Linked DNA regions of Lonchura striata. The protein of the gene in region 2 purifies or fractionates together with the protein of the main gene of each other region. This does not show direct contact. Links are inferred from orthologs where the notes say so. Each region holds a gene or a part of one and is shown on either strand. Other genes may lie near its edges.

The links.
Region 1: the proteins of HDAC1 (region 2) and EHMT1 purify together in Homo sapiens (affinity purification with mass spectrometry; 4 studies listed by BioGRID and IntAct, counting the BioPlex papers as one, with this or other methods). This does not show direct contact. The link is inferred for Lonchura striata from reciprocal best matches to the Homo sapiens genes HDAC1 and EHMT1.
Region 3: the proteins of HDAC1 (region 2) and GSE1 purify together in Homo sapiens (co-immunoprecipitation; 7 studies listed by BioGRID and IntAct, counting the BioPlex papers as one, with this or other methods). This does not show direct contact. The link is inferred for Lonchura striata from reciprocal best matches to the Homo sapiens genes HDAC1 and GSE1.

The regions. Positions count from the first base shown.
Region 1 is NC_134624.1:4,059,640-4,067,129, forward strand, and holds the start of EHMT1 (histone-lysine N-methyltransferase EHMT1), read right to left. Parts: upstream 3,098-7,490; 5' UTR 3,016-3,097; coding exon 2,953-3,015; intron 387-2,952; exon of another isoform or gene 1-386. UniProt on the Homo sapiens protein: Histone methyltransferase that specifically mono- and dimethylates 'Lys-9' of histone H3 (H3K9me1 and H3K9me2, respectively) in euchromatin.
Region 2 is NC_134628.1:1,055,757-1,062,834, reverse strand, and holds the start of HDAC1 (histone deacetylase 1), read right to left. Parts: upstream 3,098-7,078; 5' UTR 3,040-3,097; coding exon 2,991-3,039; intron 1-2,990. UniProt on the Homo sapiens protein: Histone deacetylase that catalyzes the deacetylation of lysine residues on the N-terminal part of the core histones (H2A, H2B, H3 and H4).
Region 3 is NC_134615.1:21,631,611-21,639,573, forward strand, and holds the start of GSE1 (genetic suppressor element 1), read right to left. Parts: upstream 3,098-7,963; coding exon 1,142-3,097; intron 1-1,141.

The sequences.
Region 1 (7,490 bases), on a different chromosome or scaffold from region 2:
TGCAGGCACACAGGAAAACGAGGAGAGGAGGAGGGGAAATGTTCTTCATTTAACACCAAGAACTCCATGAAAAGCCTTTTAAGGTTGCTCAGAGCCCCGCTCCATTCCAGCCCTCTCCCTGTCTGTGCTGATCATACTTCACAGGTGAAAGCAGCTCTGACTTATGACAGAGAGAAAATGCCAGAAGAGCTGGAGGTTTCCTCATCCTTGGAACAAGGACAAGTTGTGAAAAGCTTCCTTTGCAAGAGCCACTGTGCTGCTCAGGCACAGTATGGCAGTGTTGCAGGGAGGACACTTGCACGTCAGACCTTCTTAACCCCCACTGCCTCGGCCCTTCTCACCTCCTTCCCCCTCCTGATGGGGACTGAAGGAAAAACATATTTAAATCACCTGTTTTGGAGGATGCAAGTTGTTGTGTTGGAGTCCAGGATGTTTTTTAAAAGCTTGCTCAACATTTTCTCCCCTTTTATATTTCCCTTTTCTTTTTTCTAATGGATGCTTTCCAATTAGCTTGTACAGTTTGAGAGCTTCGCTCCTGCTGCTTTCCTGACTACTGTAAATCCTGGCAGGCTGCCCTCCTCCTCTGCCCCCCTCCAGGACCAACACCACCCTACAGCAAAGCCAGACACATATCCTCCACCCAAGAGACCAAGGAGCTCACAGGGGCACAAGAGGGACAAATCCCACTGGAAACATGAGAGGCCATAAGGGTCTGCAAAGAGGGAGCTGGTGTTTGGAGGAGTCAGAAAAAATAACTGGCTGAAAATGGGAGTTGAGGATTATTAATTCAGGGATTTGTTTCCAAATCACTGACATTCCATGTCACTGCAGGAACATATGGTCCTCCAAGGCTTGCAAGCAGGGAGCACACGCCATCAGTGCCCTGAGCTTTTGGGCTGACCCCAACACACGGTCACTCTCCCGCTGCGGCCATTCCTCGACCACTCTCAGCTTCAGGAGCAGGAAGGCGAGAAGGAAAAACTTCAGGGAAAAGCAGCAAAAGGAAAACAAAGAGGAGCAGCAGGAACCAAGTCAGCCCTCCCCCAAACCAGCTGGCCAGGAGAGCAAAGCTCCTTAAAACTCCTTGTTTACCTGAATAAAACAACTCACTGCCATTGCATGAGGTGCACACAACTCTCTTTCCTCAGGAGATGGCATCACATGGGAGAGCTCCCAGGAGCCAGGTCATGGAGCTGCCTCTGCCCCCTGCCCAGGGCTGGTCTCACAGAGGCTGAGCTGCAGGAATATGCCTCATATGTGCCACAGAGCCTAGTCCTACCCAAACATGTCCTGGGACGAGGGCAAGAGCTCGTGCTGGCACCGCACAGGCAGTTAAATACATGAAACAGAACAAAACCAAGACCCAAAGGCCCCACTTTGGGCTCTTAACCCTTGCTGAGAAGCAGTGCCAAGCCCAGACCTCGGCGGCTCTCTTCCCTCCAAAGTAGGTCAGGCTTTTCTGCGTCTCTGCAGACGCTTCCCAAGGGCCCCAGCCGGCAGGGACAGAGCGTTGGGCACTTCCAGCCAAAGCCACGCTGGTGTCACCACCACACAGGAGCACACCTCCCACACCTCAGAGGGTTTTTGGTTGTCTCCTCAGCCTTCATCAAGCCCAAAGCTCATTTTCTCCCTGAGTGAAGCTGCTCAGGCAGCAGGTCAAGGCCTCAGCTCTTCACTGTTAAAGAGAAATCTCAGCTCTCTCCTCCTGACTTCTGATGCCTTTTCCTTTTCTTCTGAATGATGAACAATGAGCACATTTATCATCCAGTGGAGAAACAACAGATATTTAGATTAGGTATCACAGATTGTCCCATGTAAGCTCCCTGATATTTTAAATGCCATCTTCACATCTTGCTCCTTGATTGAAAGTTCAATATTGTGTCAACATTGCAGATTCGAGGGTCTCCCTGGAGCACAGCAAGCTCAGGCCAGTGTTCTGCAGGGCTGTCCGTGCCTTCCAGGGGCCTGGGACCTTCTGTGTCCATCCCAAATCTCACCAAGGTCTGTGGCAGCCAACAGTTCTTGCATGTAACACAAATCACAGAGGAAAAAAAAAATCCCAAGGGCAGAACCGGGGGGCTGAGTTTTAAAATATGTTGCAGGCATGTTCCTGCCATGAAGTCAACCACGGATGTTTCCTTTGCATCAGATGTTTCCTTGGATTGCTATTATGAAAAAAAAATTAAAAAAAAAGAAGAGAGAAGGGAGGAAGTGACCCCAAAATAAAAAGGATTGCTTCTTCCTGGTAAAATGCTGTTGGCTCTGGCCTCCACCCCAGCAAGCCATAGGCAGAGGCTGTCAAAAGAGACCCAGTGAGGAGGTGCCATGTGGCCACAGGCCCTCTCCTCCCCTTTAGACATTCAGTCTTCAAGCAGCTCGGGCACCCCAGGCTTTGTGCCTTTTTCTTCTAACAGCTACAAGCAGCTCCTTGGAGAATTTTCCAGAAACTTCACACTTTAAAAGCACAAACAAATCCTAAAAACACCAAAAAAAAAAAAAAAAGAACCAAAAACCCAAAACCAAACCAACCCCAAGCGAGCTTCCCCACCCCAGGAGACAAACGAAAGGCACGAGGAAACAAAGCCCGAGGTTTGCCGGCGGCGCTGCCGGGCGCCGAGGCCCCTCGGAGCCCATGGAAGAGCCATCCCAGCAGGATGGGCCATGCCAGCAGGATGGGCCATCCCAGCAGGATGGGCCATGCCTGCAGGATGGGCCATGCCTGCAGGATGGGCCATGCCTGCAGATGGGCCATGCCAGCAGGATGGGCCATGCCCACCCCGCACCGGGCAGCCGCGCGCAGGAATATCCAAACAAATGAACAAACAGCCCCGGCCATGCTTCCCCGGCCTCTGCTCCTCCTCTCCTCTCCAAGGCTTCTCCTTCCCGGGCAGGACGCAGCCCTGCCCTGCCAGGGCCTCGCCAGGCACGGGAGGTGGACGGACCCTGCGGTACCTGCGGGCAGCTGTTGTCTTCTTCTGGTGAAGACTCCAAGAGTTGCATATTCCAGATCCTCATGAGCAGTGATTCAGTTTCTGCTCATGTGATAAAGCTCCCTCTACAGAGTGAGCATGCCCAGAAGAGCCCATTTCACTGCTCCCTCCACTGCAGCCATTTCACAGAGAACCTGCCGGCTCCAGGGCGTCCATTGGAGCGCGATTATCCCGGGCATCCCCGGGACGCACCGGTAATGCAGATCATCTGTCAACTTTCTGACAGGGCGCCAGGCCTCAAAACTGATCACTCGCCTGAAAAAAAGAGAAAGCTTTTTAAACCAGAGTGCTGTCTCGTGGCCTTCAAGAGTAGCACTTGCCCGTGGGAAAAGGAGAGGCAGGAAGGACAGGGAGGGATGTGAGTGGCTTGGGGATGTCCCTGGGCTGATTTTGTAGTGCTTAACGAAGTGCCCAACCTCTGAGAGCTGGGATGAAGGCACATGGGTTAAACTGATGCAGGGAGCAGTGCCCAAGACAGCGTCTCTTCGAGATCTGAACTGCTGATCTGAAGGGGAGATCATTTTCACTTTGGGGATTAATAACCTGACCTGGTACAACTGACTTTGAAAGGGTATCACAAACACAGTCATGGAAAAGCAGGGGGGGAACAGAATGAAGGGACATCCTCATGGATCCATCCTCATCCCCACCCTAATGAAGGGATAGTTCACTACAAGGCACAGGAGCTCTAAGCTCAGTCTATGTCAAACCCTACAATACTGCTGGCCCCAGCCAGCAAGATAACAGAAGAAATTTTAGCTTCAAAATAAAAGTAGTTTGTCTCTGTTCCACTTCACAATTAAGCATAAACTCTTGGCAACCTTCATATCTGCTCAGGCTCCCAGTAAAACTGCCAGAGCAGCTCGCAGGAACATCTGTAAGCAGAGCTCGGCTGGAAGGGATTCAAGGAAGACTGGCATTTATTGGAGGCAGGAGCAGGAGGCTGCTGGAGCCGGGTGTCAGGCTGGAGAACCTCCCCCCGAGCAGGGGGAGGGCAGCCAGCAACCTCGAGGAAGAGGCCAGAAAGAAGAGGAAACTCTGACATGGCCCCGTGGCACCACCCGCGTGCTCTTGGCCAAAGGAAAAACAGCTTTCCAAAAGAGGAGAGCACTGGAGAGCGTCCTCCTAAAGAGAGAGTTCTCTTTAAGAGTAGAAACTACAGTGAGGATGAGTGGAGTGCAATGTGTGACAGTGAGCTGGGAGGGCAGGGAGCAGACTCCACTGCAGGGAGGAACAAGCCATCCAAATCCCTAGGGAGGTTTGGGAGAGCCTGGGGATGAAGTTTGTCCTGCCCCAGCACCAGGCGAGTCCAGGCCTCAGCACAGCACAACAGCCATGGCCGGCTCTGCCAGGCTGGAAACATCCACAAGCCACGTTTCCTCCAGTCCCAGCAGCTCTTTCACCACTGTGGCCAGGCACGTTTGCAGAGCTGCAATAATTAAAGCAGCAAAGAGCTGTTACAGATCTCCCTTGGCTATGAGGATGTTGTTTCCTCTCCACACTCTGGAGAAGTTTCACTACTAAACAGTTAAAACACACAAGGCTAAATTGAGATGATTGAAATTCATAGGCAAGGAGTATTTGAGGTGACAGGATAAAGAAAGGATCACTTTCACCCACCAGGTTTTCATCCAACGTGAGTCTTAAGTTTTAATATACACAAAATGAGGTTTTCCTGGCCTTTCTCTCAGTCACTGAGAGGTGCAGAGGTAACTCATTTAAAGACAAATTCAAAAATCCTCAAACAAAAGCAACAAACCCCAGCTATGTAGACAGGAGTTGCCTTATCCACCGCATCAAAAGATTACTGTACTTCAAACCAAAGATGGCTTTAAAACAGTTGATGCAGTTGATTGCTGCCCTTCCTTGCAGCATGAAATTACCACGCTTTCATTAAAAGCCCAGAAATAGAAACTAAGATATTAACAAAGGCAGTGTCAATGATCCACCACAGTCAACATTCCCTTTCTCAGATAAAATAACGCCCGAGAACGGCGGCACAGCCACAGCCTCCCCACTGCATCTCCACACCAGACATGTGTTCACTGCTGAGGTTAAATATACACTGAGAGCAGATGCTACCAGAGACACTTTTCACATCTCATGGCCATCCTTGAAAGCACTAAACACTGTTTAGAAACAAAAAGGAGAAAGCAGAGCTCACCAGGGTACTGCAGATGCCTCAACAACCAACTTGAGTAAAGCGATCGATCGGTGCCGTAGCAGCATCTCTGCCACGGGGGATGCCTGGGTGTCACTCAGTGAAACCTCACATTTCTGTCATCCAAAAGCAGCAAGAAGCTTGCAGGGCACAGCCATTGGCACTGGGAGAGGTGTCTCTTGCCCGGGACCCCCCTGTCCCCCCTTGGCAGGGGTCAGGTGCTGCACACCAGCAGTCACAGTCCTCTTTCCAGGCTGGCTGAGGAAAAGGTTTTGCTGATGATGGAGGATGAGAACAGGCCTGTGCCCCGAGATGCTGTGCCCTTTATTTAGCCCAAGTGCCCTCCAGCAGCCTTCCCAGCACAGTGACACCCCCCTTTCCAAACATTCCTGCCAGGGCCCACAGATTACAGGGTATTTTCACCCCACAGCTCTCCAGCCTCCCTCCTCTGACTGAAGGCTCAAACACCCCTATCAGAAATCCCACATTTTCAGGAGGAAGGGAGCAGCACAAACACCTCCCTTCACAAAGGACACCAGGTTCCTCAGGGCTCTTGCTTAATGACACCAGTAAGTCCAGCATTTTCACAGCTCCGTTGCAGGGAAGCCTAAGTGGGAGGCAAAGGGAGGTTTTTCTTTTTATAGGAAGAACAATATTTAGCTCTGCAAAATACAGAGGGTTTTCCTTATTTCCTTTCTTCCATCAGGCTTCTCTTCTTGCAGACTCTCCCCTTGATCAAATCTGATGCTCCCTTTCAGCCTCCTCAGAAACAATCCCAAAAGCTGAAGGGACTTTGGGTATGAGATGAGCATTTCTGCTGGAATCCTGATTGTTTCTGCACTGCTATAAACCATTCTCCAGCTTCACCACAAGCTATTCAAACATTCCTTCTGCTCTTCAACCATAATATACAACATTTCTTAATCAGAATAGCTCAGGACATACTGGGTATCCTCAGCACCCTCCAATGTCCACCTCCAGGCTCAGGTAACAGCTTTGAAAGAACAGGCAGTCAACAGGCAGTCATTAATGCATCTTTTGGAATCATAGCTTTCCCCATCTTTTAAAACCTGGTTTTATATCCCTAAAGCTTCCAAGCCATTTCCCTTCCTCTCCTCTTTTCCCCAGTAGAGTTGAAAACTGTTTTTACTTAATAGGAAACCAGAAATGTTCCCTGGGATACTGCACTGAGTAAATCATACACGCTAAAAAGGAAAAAAAAAAAGGAACATAATAGAGATCCTCTTGGACAGCAATTGAGATGTGAGCTCTCTGGGAGATGGTGCTATGTTTTGATAAGAATATGCGTTGAATATTTCATTTACAGGGCAATCCTAGATCTTTATTTAGCAGCATATTGGCCAGACAGCTGTAATTTAGAACATACTGTATTCCTAACAGTTCCCAATTATAAATTCCTTCAGCTTTAACTTACAGTAACCACAGCTCTTTCTATTTTGGAGTTCTAAATCCACCATTTCTCCCCTTCATTCAGCTATGGCATATCAAGAGCTCCTACAGTACAAACAGAGCCTTGCTGGAGAAGGGTCCTAAATCTAGCATTCTCTACCCCCAGCACAGCAAGCAGGCTCTTGCTTCCAGCACACTCACTGTTCCACAGACCAATGTTTTATTGGTTTATTTGGGGACAGTGGCCCCATTTGTCAGTGCAAAGCCATCCTGCAGCGCCCTGCCAGCAGCAGGCTGGGAAAATGGCTGTGCACATTCCATCCTCCTCCTGCTGCAACAAGCGCTGGAGATCCTGCCAACACGCCTCACGTGTTCAGTGTGGCCCTGTTCTTTGACCTCACACCTATTTTTTTTAAGGATTGAGGCACTGACATGAAAATAAGCAAGCTCTTCACTGGAGGAGAATCAGTGCTCCACGAAGCCTTTGTGTCTCTCCCCAGATCATGAGCTCCTGTGGAACAGCGCCTGTTGACGGCTCTCCCAGCCATCCTGCTGACTTTATCAAATTTCTGCAAGGAACAGAAGGAGCAGATGAACTCGGTGAAAACAAAGCTCCTGCCTCCATGCAAATATCCCTGGTTAAGAGGAGCAGAGAAATAGAGCGAGCATGATGTGTGTACAGAATTGGCTCCACAGACGCTGCTTCTCAGCAACTGCCATAAGGTGGCAGTGGGTCTTTAAGGCTACCTTACACCTTCCCACAGCACAATAGGAGCCAGCACACCAGTGGGTTTCCAGCAGCTGAAACTAATTAAGTCAAATTTCCTCATCAAGAGAACCAGGCCCTACATGAAAACTTGGGGCTGAGATCACCTCCACTGCCAGAGTCACACAAGGAGGAAAAGCCACGGCGGTGAATTCTGCAAAGC
Region 2 (7,078 bases):
GCCCTGGAGTTAATCCCAGCTCAGACAATGACTCAGCCCAGGAACACCCGGCCTGTGCCTCACTTTCCTCCTGTTTACCCACGGGAAACGGGATCCAGGGAACTCTGGACTCTGCAAACACCACCCAGCTCTGCTTTTACAGCTCCACACTTGGTTTCACCCCTTTTGATCCCTTCAAATCCTCCAGAGGATTCCCAGGCCTTTCCAGCCACCCGCCAGGAATTGTTTTATGGGACATGGGGAACAAAGTCACCTCCCCACGTGGATTTTCTCCTCCAAACTGAGCTCACACCTCACTGATAAATGGGGTTTTTATTCCACCTCCTTTCCCAGGGGCACTCATTTCCCTGAATTTCACAGGAATTTCCCTTTCAGATTTCTGCCTGATTTGGCTGCAGGGAGCAGGAATCTCTCCCAAGCTTCATTTTCCTGGGAAACCAGCCCAAGCTGTTCCTGGGCTGGAACAACTCCTGCTCCTTTTGGGAAGCAGGGGATCCAAGCCGGTCTGGCCGGTGACTCAGAGGGGAGAATTCACATTTCATCACCACTCTCCACCTTCAGCAGAAGCAGTTTTTCTTCCTCCTGTGGACATGGATCTATTTCCAGGTAGGAAAATGAGATGCCAAAAGTGCAAATCCCACATCCAGGCAAGTCTGCTGCTGGAATTGACCTGTCTGTGGAGCTCTGGGGAGATGTTCTTTCAGTAAATAGAATTTTTTTTTCAGGTAAAATCACTTTTTTTCTCACTGAAAATAATTCTGTTTTCTCACATTTTGGCAACCCGTGCTGGTGTAACCATCCTGCCGTGTTTTAGGGACGGATTTTACTACCTCTAAATCAAGATTTGGGGAACTTGTAAGAGATGTTTGAGGCTGTACATAGGAAATAGAAGCACAGAACTCGGAGAAGCTTTTACAAAAATCCCCATCAGCTGTCCAGGGAATGCCCTGGGCCAACCCTGAGCTCCTGTTCCCTGTGCTGAGCACATCCCAAGCCCTGTGGATCCCTGGATGAGCTCAGCTGCTCCTGGACGTCAGAGCAGATTAAGGAGTGTGAACTGAGCAGGCTCTGCTGGGGTTAAACAAATCCCTCCATCAGGAGGCTCTGAATGGAGAAATTCCACCCAAATCTTTCCTCAGCCACTCAGGAGTGCAGGGAAGGACCCCAATTCCTTCATCCCATGAAATTCAGGGAATTCCCACAGCAGGTTAGGCTGGTTCCAGCCTCCCAGCGTGGAAAAGAAAAGGCTCCAATCAACAAATTATTTATTTCCTCTCAGTAAAAGCAGCTTTTTACCCCTCAGCTGTGGACGTTGAAAAGCTGCTCAGAAAAGAACAGTAAAAAGGAAAAAAAAAAATTTAAAAAATGGCACTAAAAGCTCACCACAAAGTATGGAACCCAAATTGGTGAAATTCTTGTGCAGCAAAGACCTGCAGGGCAGCAGCATTTCAAACAAAACAACTGCTTATTTCATATTTCAGATATAATTCAATGCCTTTAAAAATTATAACCCAGCAGGGCTGAGAACCTCCTATTTGAAGGGAAAAAAACGACATTTTTAGAGGGGGAAAAAAAAGCTCTGAGCATAGGATTTGGAAAAGCCTCCTTCCTTAGAGAGGGGGAAAAAGTAGCAAGAAGAAGTTTTTTATTTGATTTCAGGCCAAAAACCGTGTGGGAGCAGAGAATTGCACAAGGCCTGTGGCACAAGGTGAGCACAGAGGCAGCGAAAAAGGAGCAGGGGAAGGGAGAGGGGCAGCACTGGGATTGCTCAGCCCCACAGGACAGCCAGGGATTTGGGATTTGGGATTTGTTCCTTCCCTGCTGCACAGGGATGCTGAGGCAGCCCCAAAAGGAGCCACCATCCACACTCCAGAGGCACAGCTGGAGGATGCTCCTGGCAGGAGCTGCCTGCACACAGCCACCCTGGCTCCCAAAAGCTTTTTGGCCCCTGCTGACCCCAAAAAAACGCTGTCCCAGGAGTGCCTCATCCTCCTCAGAGCCCAAAATCCTCCTCCAGCACCTCAGCACCCAAAAAGACTCTCTCCTGGCCTCCAGCCCCTCTCACCAAGCCCAGACCCTTCCCAGCCTTTCCCATCTCCCAAATCCTCAGATCTCCACATTTCCCCATCCCATCCCAAACACCTGATCTTCCCCCAAATCCCCACATTTCCCTGGTTTTCTCTCAAATCCCCAAATCCCCACATTTCCCCATCCCAACCCCCATTTCCCTGATATGCCCTCAAATCCCCATCCCCCTGATCTTCCTCCAGATCTCCACATTTCCCCCATATTCCCTCAAATCCCCAGATCCCCAAATTTCCCCATCCCGCTGTTCCTTCCCCCAAATCCCCACATTTCCCTGATACTCCCTCAAATCCCCAGATCCCCAAATTTCCCCATCCCCCTGATCTTCCCCCAAATCCCCACATTTCCCTATCCCAAACCCCTGATCTTCCCCCAAAACCCCAAATTTCCCCATCCCATCCCTCTGATCTTCCCCCAAATCTTCAAATCTCCCCATCCCAACCCCCTGATCTTCCCCCAATCTCCCAAATTTCCCCATCCCACCCCCCGATCTCCCTCCACTCTTCCCATTCTCCTCTCCAGCTCTCCCCATACCCCTGCCATGCCCCCCACACGCTCCCTACGCCTCTCAACCCCATTAAAAACCCCACACAACCCCTGATCCCCATTCCCCGACCGTCCCCGCCCATCAATACCCCCAACACCCATCCCAAAACCTCTCAACCCCCTCACCTCCATGACCCCAACGATCCCCCATTACCAACCTCTCATCCCACCCCCAGCACCCCCATCCTCCCTCAGTGACCCCATTACCCTCACCCCCCTCTCCATTACCGCCTCATGACCCCTCACCCCTCACCCCCGCCTCCTCCGTCCGCGATGCCCCCTCATCCCCCCCTCCCCCCCGCCCCAGGACGGCTCCCCCGCGGCCCGGCAGCCCCGAGGGGGTGCCCGCAGCTCCTCACCATCGTAGTAGTAGCAGACTTTGCGCTTCGTGCCCTGCGTCAGCGCCATTTTCCTGCCTCCCCTCACAGCGCCCGACCCGCCGCCGCGCCGCGCACCCAACCCCGCCCGCCCCGGGCCCGCGGGCCCGCCCCCCGCGCCGCGCCGGCCAATCGCAGCTCTCCGTTCCTCCCCCTCCCGCCCGCTGGCCAATGGCAAGGCGCAGCGGCACCTAGCAAGTTAGGCTGAGCGCCGGGGGTGCTTGGGCTGTACCACTGCGGCGGGGGATGGGGGGGTGGTGGTGGCTGTACCATCGAGGGTCCAGGTGGGCAGGGAGGAACCATTCCCTTGGTGGGGTGGGGGGGGCAGGTGGGGCTGAACCATCCCAGGGGAGGGGGGAGCCAGGGCAGGTTGGGCGAGTGAAGGGCCAGGGGTGGCTACCAGGGCTGAGGGGGGGTCCCGGGGGTCGCAGGGGCTCCCTGGGGTGGGTTGGTGCCGGTGGGGTCCGTGTGCTGTGGGCATCGCCCCGCGTGCCGCACCCCGTGGCAGCCTGGCCCCCGCTGCTGAAAATGCCTTTATTTCCCCAAAGTCGCTGTAAAATTCTCCTGCGCACGCCGTGAGGGCAGAGGGAGCTCCAGCAGCCGCGGGGTGCGGTGGCCAGCGCTGCTGGGGGGGGTTCCTGCCATCCCAAGGGAGTGAAGGGGGCACAGAGCGGGGCAGGAGAGCCCTGAGGGGCTGGAGCCTGGATTTTCCACTGGGAAGCGCAGGGATGGCAGGGTGGGCACCCTGAGAGCATCTGTGCCATGCCCCAGATTTTGGGGGACTGCTTTGGCTGTGCAGCCCCTCCTGGAGGAGTCAAATCTGCAGTCCCCAATCTTTGGAATGCTTCAAATCCTCACAGAGCTCTCCCCTCATCCTGGACCCCTCAGACATCCATGGAGGCTGTGGGGCACCCCACAGCAGAGCCCTCAAGGACTGGCCCTCCATGGCAGTGAAGAAATCCTCAAGCATGCTCTTCATGAAGTCGAAGGTGGGTGAAGGGGGCACAGAATGGGGAAGGTGAGCCCTGAGGGGCTGGAGCCTGGATTTTCCCTCTGGGAAGCGCAGGTATGGCAGGGTGGGCACCCTGAGGGCACCTGTGCCATGCCCCAAGCTTTGGGGGTCTGCAGCCCCTCCTTAAGGACTCAAATCTGCAGCCCCCAAGGTTTGGAATGCTTCAAATCCTCACAGAGCTCCCCCCTCATCCTGGACCCCTCAGAGGTCCATGGGGTCTGTGGGGCACCCCACAGGTGCACCCTCAGGGCTGCTGCTGGTTCTGGCCCTCCATGGTGGTGAAGAAGTCCTCGAGCACGCTCTTCATGAAGCCAAAAGGGGGTGAAAGGGACACAAGAGTGGGGCAGGAGAGCCCTGGGGGGCTGGAGCCTGGATTTTCCCTCTGGGAAGAGCAGGGATGGCAGGGTGGGCACCCTGAGGACATCTGCGCCATGCCCCAAGCTTTGGGGGTCTGCAGCTCCTCCTGGAGGACTCAAATCTGCTCTCCCAAGCTTTGGAGCACTTCAAATCCTCACAGAGCTCCCCACCCCAGCCTGGGTGAGGTCCGTGGGGTCTGTGGGGCACCCCCAGCACCCCACAGCAGCACCCTCAGGGCTGCTGCTGGTACTGGCCCTCGGTGGCGGTGAAGAAGTCCTCGAGCACGCTCTTCATGAAGTCGAAGGTGGGGCGCTCCTCGGGGCTCTCCTTCCAGCACTGCCTCATCAGCTCGTACAGCTCCGCCGGGCAGTTGTCCGGCTGCGGCATGCGGTAGCCACGCTCCAGGTTCTGGATCACCTCGGGGTTGGTCATCCCTGCCAGGACCCGATTCGGGTCATCCCCATGGTGTGGGTGGCACCCTGGGGTTGGGCATCCCAGCCAGGACCCAGTTTGGGTCACTGGAACCACCCCAGGGTTGGTCACCCCTGCCAGGACCCAGTTTGGGTCACTGGAACCACCCCAGGGTTGGTCACCCCTGCAAGGAGGATGGCCAGGACCCAGTTTGGGTGGCAGGGACCACCCCAGGGTTGGTCATTCCTGCCAGGACAATGCCCAGGACCCAATTTGGGTGGCAAGGACCACCCCAAGCTCAGTCACCCTTGACAGGACAATGCCCAGGACTCAGTTTGGGTCACCCCAGGTTTTAGGGACCACCCCAGGATTGGTCATTTCTGCCAGAAGAATGCCCAAGACCCATTTTGGGTGGCAGGTACCTCTCCCCACCCTCCCAAACCCCGCATGGGGGGCACCTCCCATCCCCTCCCATCCCCTCCATCCCCTCCCCAGGTGGCTTTGGCCACCGTGCCCGGTGCAGCCGGGCCGGGCAGGGTGCCAGGCTGGCAGCAGCGTGCGTGCAGCGCTGCATGCACACGCACACACACACACACACACACACAACACACCGCGGGCGTGCCGGCCCCGCAGCTGCCCCAAAATCCTCACCTGGATACGGGATCCGGCCGTAGGTGACGATCTCGGTGAGCAGGATGCCGAAGGACCACACGTCCGACTTGATGGTGAACGTCCCGTAGTTGATGGCCTCGGGTGCCGTCCACTTAATGGGGAATTTGGCCCCTGGAAAGCGGTGGGAAGGGGAGGATAAAGCGCTGGAACCTGATTGAATTCCGTGTGACAGCTCTGTCGCTGCCTGGGCACCGGCTGGCTCTGGTGGCTGAGCCCCCCGAGCCTGCGGGAGCCCCCCCAAAGCACTCCAGCCGCGGGGGGAGAGAGATGGAAAAGGCAAAATCCATCCTTGCACCCCTCTCCTGCAGCTCCCCGGGGATCCAGGCTGGCCGCGGGTCCCCCTCCCGGTGTCCCCAAGCCCGGTGACCCCCGGGGCTGGGCGGGGCTCACCCTCCCGAGCTGTGTACTCGTTGTCCTCGATGAGCCTGGCCAGCCCAAAATCGGCGATTTTGCAGCACAAAGTGTCCGAGACGAGGATGTTGGCGGCCCTCAGGTCCCTGTGGATGTAATTCTTGGCCTCGATGAAAGCCATGCCTTCGGCAATCTGGGATTTGTAATTATGGATGAATTGCAGTTGTTAATTAACAGCTCCGGAGGTCTCCCAGCTCTCTCCCCGTTTCTCTGCTCCCCCCTCACCTGCGCTGCCATGTCCAGGAGTTTGTTGATGCTGAGCTTGACTCCTTCCGAGGTCTTGAGGAAGTCCACGAGGCTGCCTGTGATGAAAGCAGCAGTTCTCAGCTCCTGGGGGGCCTGGGGGGTCACAAGGGCCCTGTCCCCCCAAAAAAAACTCTGGCAATGTGGCCGGGAGAACACAGAAAATCCTTCATGCCCCAGCTGGATATGGGAGAGAACAAAGGCAAAGCTTCCCCGGGGCTGGAGGCGCAGGAACCTCTAAAATGAACAAATTTCCACATTGCCAGTCTTTCATTCTGACTGGTTTTGGAGCCTGCACTGGGAGGTGCTGCAGTCACCACCCTGGAGGAGTTTAAGGAATGACCAGCCCAGCCAGGACAATGGCCAGGACCCAGTTTGGGTGGCAGGGACCCCCCTAAGATTGGTCACCCCTGCCAGGACAATGCCCAGGACTCAAGCTAGATCACCCCCAGGTTTTAGGGACCAGTCTAAGGTTGGTCACCCTTTGCCAGGATGATGCCCAGGACCCATTTTGGGCCACAGGAACCACCCCAGGCTTGGTCACCCCTGCCAGGACAATGCCCAGGACACAATTTGGGTGGCAGGGACCATGCCAGGGTTGGTCATTCCTGCCAGAGCAATGCCCAGGACCCATTTTGGGCCACAGGAACCACCCCAGGCTTGGTCACCCCTGCCAGGACAATGCCCAGGACACAATTTGGGTGGCAGGGACCATGCCAGGGTTGGTCATTCCTGCCAGAGCAATGCCCAGGACCCATTTTGGGCCACAGGAACCACTCCAGGCTTGGTCACCCCTGCCAGGACAATGCCCAGGATACAATTTGGGCCACAAGAACCACGCCAGGCCCAGCCACCCTTGTCAGGACAATGCCCAGGCCCCAGCGCTCTGTCTGTTGAAGTGGGGATTTTTCACAGCATGAACTTTATCCCAAAGATCTCTTCCAGCCTTAAAGTTCCAGAGCTC
Region 3 (7,963 bases), on a different chromosome or scaffold from region 2:
AAGCAACAGCTTCCAGAGGATTCCCAGCACCGGTGCCAACCCAACCTCCCGTGCCATCCTGGCACCCTCCAGGTGAATGCAGCTCCTGCCTGGTGGCTTTCCAAGCAGTGTCCCCCCTAGTTCAGGAGCCAGCACAGCTGAATGAGAAATTATATTTGTAAGCAGCCAAGGGAGAGCAGTGGGAGAGAAAAGGAGCGCTGTCTTGGAAGGACTGGTTTACATTTCTAAAGAAAATGCCAGTGCCTCAGAGAGCTGCAGGGTTCTGGCTATGGATGGAGCTGAAAGGCTTTGAAAATGACCTCGGGGATTTGGGATGTTGGCATTTGACAGAGCCCAGCCTGGGGCCTGGTTCGGTGATGCAGAGCAGCAGCTCTGGAGAGCTCCCACAAGCTGGAAATCTGGGAGTAAAAGCTGTTCTTTTCCTATCCCACGAGAAAGACAAGCCTGGGAGGGATAAACTTCTGCTCTGCCATGTGCTTTTGAGGTGGTGCCCTCCAAGCAACCTGTGTAACCCCAGGGGGAGCCACAGAAAGGAGCAGCTGGGGAATCTGGCAGCACCTGGGCCAACCCTTCAGGCTTGCAGGGCTTTTGGGGAGCCCTCAGTGCAGGACAACCAGAGCAGCACGGGTGGGGGGAGCCCAACCATCAGCTGTGGGGAGAGCCAGGGCTTTTCCAAGGGAAATCCTTTCATTAAGGCACCTTGTAAAACTGGGGATAAGTTGGGAAGTTTCCTACAGAGCCCATGAGCTCCTTCCCAAGGATGCTCCCGTGGAGGGCAGGCCAGGCAGTCATCCTAACCCCCTGGCACCTCTGAGCACCCTCGATGGCAAGAGGGACAGGGTCGGGATTTCCTCTGTCCTGGCTCCCACCTCCCTCATGCGAAGCTGCCAACAGCACAGACAATTCTGGAACAGGAGACGTTTTGGCTCTTCCCACCTCTTGGAAGGATTTTTATCTCTCCCTTCGCAGCTTGACAGCTCCAAAAGTTCACTGCTAAAGGCACCCCATCCATTAGCATTCACCCCCAGGACCCAGACCCAAAAGAAGAGCATCCATCTATGTCACTGCTCCAACTCCTCCTGGATTCCAGAGGTGGGAAGTGCTGGGAAAGGAGGGATGGGGTCTGGACCAGCTGCCTTACCTTGGGGAGGAGAGTCGGGGGTGCCACTGCCAGCAGCTCTGGCGGGGTCATGCTCTTGCCAGCCAGGACCACGGCCCCGCACTCGGCACAGGCGCCGATGGTCAGCTGCTTGCCATCGTCCACCAGCAGGCTGTTGGCCACGCGCAGGGTGTAGAGGAAGACGGGGAGCCTGGCCACTTGAACCGCTTTTAATCCAAGGCATCGCTTCTTCTCCTGCCGGCAGAAGAAGCAGACGAAGGTCTCCACCTTGTACTGCCGGGACCAGGCGCTGCTGGGGTGGTGGGAGTTCCTGCCCTCGTGCTGCAGCCACTGTCCCAGCAGGTCGTGGTAGCACAGGATGCAGGTGGCCACCAGCCCGGTGGAGTCGGCCGGTCTGGCCCGCGGGGCGGGCGGGTAGACCGTCAAGAAGGGGAAAAAGGGCTCCTTCTCCCCAAATCGCCCTGGAGGGTTGACGTTGAGCTGGAATTCTTTGCCAGCTCCCAACTCGGCCCCGCAGATGTAGCAGACAGAGGTGGGGCCGGACTTGATGACAGCGGGGTGGCCGGAGAGGTCACCAGCGGAGAAGACCTGGTGGTACCTCCCCAGGAAACTCTGCACGGAGGAGATGAGCTCCTCGTTGTGACAGGCCCTGTACATGGCCCACAGGTCCTGCAGCACCCCGAAGCACTTGCGGCAGCTGCTGACCTCCCAGTGCTTGTTCAACCCCTTGGCGCCGGGCGGGCAGGGCAGCAGGCTGAGGAAGGGGAAATGCATGGTGCTCTTCGCGTTGCCGTTGGTGATTTTGGCCGCCACCGGCCTCGCCTCCTTGCCGCACTCCTCCCCGCACAGGTAGCAAGCCTCGGGCACCGGCGGGATGCCCGTGCCGTCCTCCTTCATCCCTCGGCGGCCCTTGGGGGGCATGGCCCCGGCGCTGAGGGGCACCACGTAGAGCCGCTGCAGCACGGGCACGTTGGCCAGCTCGAAGCTTTGCCACTGCTGCATGAGGGAGGCGAAGCAGCAGGGGCACACCAGGGTGCTGCCGGTGGGGGACAGCGGCTGGGCGCCCGGCGGGGGGCTGTGCAGCCACAGGAACGGGAAGAAAGGTCCCGGCGAGCTCTTCTCCTGCTTCTGCACGTGGACGCGGTGCTGGGCGCCGGGCGCCAAGGGGCTGCCGCAGATGTAGCAGGCGGTGCCCGCTGCCCAAGCGGGCCGCTCGCTGCCTTCCTCCTCCTCCTCCTCCTCCTCCTCCTCGCTGGTGATGTTGATCTCGCTGTCCGACGAGCAGCAGGGGGGTCCCCGCTCGCTCCCCGCCGCCGGGGGGGCCCGCGCCGCGCCGCCCGCCCCCTCGGGCTCCGAGAGGGGCTCGGCGTCGGAGAGCTCGGAGAGCTCGGAGCCGGCTGCCGGCCCTTCCTCCTCCTCCTCTTCCTCCTCCTCCTCCTCCTCCTCCTCCGGGTGGCCGGTGGCGCGGCGCGGCGGCGCGGCGGGGTCCCAGCCCGTGGCCCCCCGCCGCAGCCCGGCTCCCCCCGCCGCCGCCGCCGCCGCCGCCGCCGCCGCCTCGCACTGATGGGGCCGCTTGAGCCAGTACATGCGCTTCTCCACCGGCGTGCGGCTGCGCTCGAAGGAGTCCCACTGCTCGCCCAGGAAGCAGCGGCAGACAGCGCAGACCAGGGCGCAGCCCTCCGCCGAGACGGCGCGGGCTCCGGGCGCCGGCTCCTGGTGCTGCAGGAAGGGGAAGAAGGGCCGGTGGTCGCGGGGGGGTCGCACTTGAAGCTTCAGCTCTTTGCCGCGGCTGATGCCGCCGCCGCAGATGAAGCAGCAGAGCGGGGGCGCCGGGGGTTGCGCGGCCCCGGGGCCGCCCCCACCCGCCGCCGCCGCCGCCTCGCCGGCCGCCAGCGCGGCCATCAGCCGCTGCTTGCGGGAGAGCGGCGCCGCCGCTGCCCCCGGCCCCGCCGCCGCCCCCGGCCCCGCCGCGCTCATCGCCGCCCCCGGCTCATCCCGCGGCTCCGCCGGACACGCAGGCTCGGGGGGCGGGTTTGCGGAGCGCTCCCCCCCACCCCTCCGCCCGCCTCCTCCCGCCGGGGGAAGGCAGCGAGAAAGGAAAGAGGAAAAAAAAAAAAATTATGATAAAACAACGGCAACAACAACAACAACAAAAAAAAATTAAAACAGCTCCCCACGGCAACAAAATATCCACGAACGGCAACAAAAATAAACCCGGGATAAAAGTTCGGTGCGAAAGTTTGGGTCCCGCCGGCGGCGCGGAGGAAGGGCGGCTGCCGGCCGCCTCCCGGCCCCGGCGCCCCCGGCCCGGCTCCTCCCCGGCCCCCCCTCCGCGACCGGCCCGCCCGGGGGGGCCCGGAGGGAGGAACGAGCCGCTGCCACCCGCCCGCCCGCCGCCAGCCCGGCGCGGAGCGACCCCACGGGGGAGGGCCGTGGGGACTCACAAAGCCACCCCCGAGGGGGTTTATGGCCGGCCCCACGCGGGGATCCCCGCACCGGCCCGCCCGCGCCGTGCCCAGTGTCCCACCCGCCACCCCCTAACCACAGCACGGCGCTTTGTGCGGCTCCCACTCCCCACAGGCACCGTGTCCTGCTTCACGCCGCCGGGACTTATCCCACCCAAGCACCGAGCCTTTCCTGCCCTTTCCAGCCATTAACTCGGTGTCCCGAGCACCCCCGGTAATTTATTTTCCACTTTCAAACTACTGCCGCTGTTCCAGTTCGATACCAGATTCTATTTCCCGCTCGATCCTAAAATGCTGCGTCGCTTTGCCACTCGCTGGTAAATAGCTGATGCGTTCCCAGCCGGAGCTGGCGGCGTTTCAGCGGCGCATGCAATAATCCCGGTATATCCTTACCTGCCTCGCAGCCCGCGATAAGATTTAATGCTTGGAAAGCACTTTGCTGTCCTTGGACAATAGGCACCGCGGAAGCGCAAACTGTGCCCAGGGCCAGCCTCAATTAAACCTGACTGATTAACCACCCCAGCGGCTCGTCAGCGTGCCCACCGGCTCGGCACGGCTCTCCCCATTAAATAAATATATTAGGAACTGGAAGGGGGATTTTTTTCAAGCAGTCTGTTTAGGAGGAAGCCTGCTGCCGGCAGTGCTGTGGAGTTTGAGTTCATGGCAAGTCACTGCAATAACCCAGGTGCTGTCCTTGCAAGTCTCCCTGAGCTTGGAGGGTGCAGAGTGAAACCCAAAGAGGCAAGGTCAGTGGTTGGATAGGACACAGGGACAGAGGGACAGCAGGATGAATGCCTGAGCCACGTGCCAGCACACCCCGATGATGCACAGAAGCCACAGTGTCCCTTGCTCCTCATCACTCCTCGGGGCACCCCGTCTGGGTCCCCCTTGGGCTGACCAACCCTTCGTGTCACCTCCCACCCGGATTGCTGGTGACAGCGTCCAGTGCTCCCCAGCAACTGGCCCCGAGATCAAACAGATTGTGTGACATCAGCTGGAGCGCGGGCAGGGGCAGGAGGGCTCTTCAGGGACCCGGATCCAGTTTCCACGCAGATGGCTCCGGTAGTAAAGAAACAGGGGGTGGGAGGCAACACACAAAGCGGGAATACGATACCTTGGGAGAACTGGCTCCACGGGGCTTTTTCAGGGGTTTCCAGAAGACAGCAGGGCCTCGTTATATTTTATTTATTTATAGGGCTGATGTGGTGGCTGCTCTATGCACCGAGGGCAGCGGGAACGCCGCGTGTCGGGGTGGACATGACTCAGACGCTCTTTAAAGATGCACTCGGTCTCTCGGTGTCGCCCCTCTTCCCGGATGGAAAGGGGCCACTGGGCCGGATGGGATCCCTGACCCCAGGCAGCAGCACCGGATCTGGGAATGCCTCACCCCGGTTGCCCAGCTGGAGCTCCGCCGGGCGCTGCGGCCACCAGCTCAGCCCACCCTTCGAGCGCAGCCGACAGATGCTCTCCCGCCTGCTCCGCAGATGGGCGAGAAAACAACACGCCACATCCAAAGTCCAGAGCTCGGCAGGGCCAAACCTCCCCTCCCCACCCTGCCCTGAAACACCGACCCTCTGTGCCCCTCTCCGCGAGCCCCCGGCTCCCCCGTTCTCCCCGCGCCCCACGGGGACACGGCCTCGGAGCAGCTTCCCGGGCCTTGGCTGCGCCCGGACAGAGCAGCTCATTTATCATCCTGTGCCGCCCTGGCCCTGCGGTTGCTGTTTGCAACAGAGAAGCTGGGAGGGAGAGAAAATTTCTCAAGTCGGCCTCGGCAAGAACTGAAAACATATGCCCTGGCGGCAAACGCGTCCCCCGGGGCGCGCGGGGATCAAGGCGAGCCTAGCGCAGGATTTTCCACCGCGGCTCCCGCCGGCGCGCTGCCCTCCTGCCAGAGCTGGCGTCCCACAGCCACCCCTGGGCCCGGGGTGGTGACAGCCAGGTCTGCTCCTCCAGCCCAGCGCTGGGAGCACACTGGGAGGCAGGGCAGGGTGGCCAATATCCCGCTGGACCTTGCTGGCTGCGCTGCAGAGCTGGCCCCGTGCTCAGAGAGGAGCCCCGGGGACAGATGTCCCTTGCGAGGTAGGGGACAGGCTCTGTCTTGGGTCAGGACTCAGCACCAGTCGTGCCAGGTGCTGGGCAAACAGCTGTGGTCGTGGGGCAGGGGGCTTCCCTGGCTTGGATGGGGCAGGGATTCAGGATGGATGCATGAGCAGCCCACAGGGTGCTGGGTCCATCCCTATCCCCATCCTTGTCCCCATTCCCGTTCCCGTCCCCATCCTCATTTCCATCCCCATTCCTGCCTCAATTCCTCCATCCATCCCCACGGCCAGCCCTAAACTTACCTTTATTCTCATCGCCATCCCCAATTCCTCTTTCCATTCCTCTGCCTGTCCCTATTGCCATCCTTATCCTCATACCCCTTTCTTTTTCCACTTCTGTCCCATCTCATCCTCACCCTCGTTCCCATCCTCATCTGCATCCTCATCCCCATTTCTATCCCTATCTCCCTCCCCATCCCCATTCCCATCCCAACCCCCCTCTCTGTCCCTATTCCTACCCCAGTTCCTATCCCAGTCCCTTTTGCCCTTGGGGCCCTGCAGGGCAGCACCCATTCCCTGGCACCCCGAGGAGCAGGCACGTGCTGCAGATCCCACATCCCAGGGACCGGGAGGTTAATATGGAAATTACCAACTGCTTATTCCTTCCAGCTGTTGCTGTGAGTCATCAAGTGCCTTAAAGAGCATTTCAAACAACACAGTGCCTTTGAGACAGCGTGACTGCTGCCCCAGCCACCCCCTCTGGATAATCCTCGGCAGGGTCTGGTGTTTGAAAAGGGAATATTTCTCCAAGGAGGCAATTCCCAGCCCTGCGTGGCCGGGGAGGAAGAACAGCCGCTGCCTCCACGGCGCCTGTCCAGGCTCCCACCTCCACCCGTGGGCTCCTGGCGTCCTGCCCGAGAGCAAAGCCAGGCAGGGAAGGGCACTGGGAAGGGCAGCCCAGCCCTGGCATCATCTCTGCTCAAAATCCAGCAGGGACATCTCAATCCCACCACGCACCCGCATGGGTGACGATCCCTGCTGTGCCACCTGGGGAAACTGAGTCAGGGGGCGGCCAGTCTGAGCTCCACAGTGTCACCTGCCCGGGGTGAAGGTGGCAGAGTGGCTGCCACGGGACACTGGGACACTGGTCTGGAGTTCAGTGACCTTGAACTCTGCACTCAACAGCTGTATTTTCCTCGGCAAGCTTTTATTTCCTTTTTTTTTTTTTTTTTTTTTAAAAGGCTGATCTCTGCACTCAGTTGGTGCTGATTTTTCAGATGGGAGAGATAGGGCTGGTTCATGGAAATAGTGGGGATATATCCCTTATCTGCTGCTTCAACCTTTCTTTGAACTTCTGGACTGACTTCATTGATTTTTCCGCTGTTCCTTTCGCTGGAAAAGCCCAGGCAGGTTTTCTCCTGCTTGCAAACTGTTTTCCCCCAGTCCTTTGCAAGGCTGTGCAGGTGAGTCAAGGATGCTCCTGGCCAAGATCCCAGCTGGTGAGAGCAGGAACATCTGCCTCTGCACAGCAGAGAGCCTGGAATCAAAAAATAATGACCCAAGGAAAGCTGTGCACAGGTGACAGGGAGCTGTGACAGGGTGCAGGGGAAGGGGACAGGGCCATCCCACGCTGAGAGAGGAGGCAGGCAAGGAGGGAAGGATGCTGCTGGCATGGTCCCCAGCAGGCAGGAAGGAGAAAGGTGACTCTGAGGAGAGGAGGGGACTACCGACTGCCACCACAGCCCTGTGGGGACACTCTGAGCCTCTCTGCTCTCCCGGACAGGCTGTGGCAAACACACTGCTGCTCCCTGACAGCTGAAGGACAAAGCCATGCGGGGACACACTCGGTGCTGGCAGGGTGGTCACAGGGGCTGAGTCCAACCGGGATCCCCAGGAGCACCCTGAGAGCCCATGAATTTAAGAGGACGATCCAGCACCCTCAGTCCATGCCCCAAACCCCTCCATGGGCACTCGCAGCGTTGATCTCGTGCCGCTCCTCCTGCTCACCCCCTCTGGGACCAGCCCTGGTTCCCCCCATCTCCCCATGGGCAGGAGGGAGGGAGCCACGTCCCCTGCGAGGCACAAGGGCCCAGTTGCTGGCTGTGGGGTTTCTTCATAAGGGCTTTTTTATTTTTTTTAAGAGATTTTTTTTTTTTTCTTTTCCTTTCCAGGGCGAGCAGCTCTGCAAATGCCAAGTGCTGATGCCAAAGGGCCGTGTCAACAAAGAAGAATGAGTGTGGCTGTTAGAGGCTGCTATTAAAAAAGGGTGGAGAGGAGAAGGGAGAGGGGGGGTGAAAAAGAGAAGAAAAGGTTTGTCACTGCAAATAATAACAGTTTGC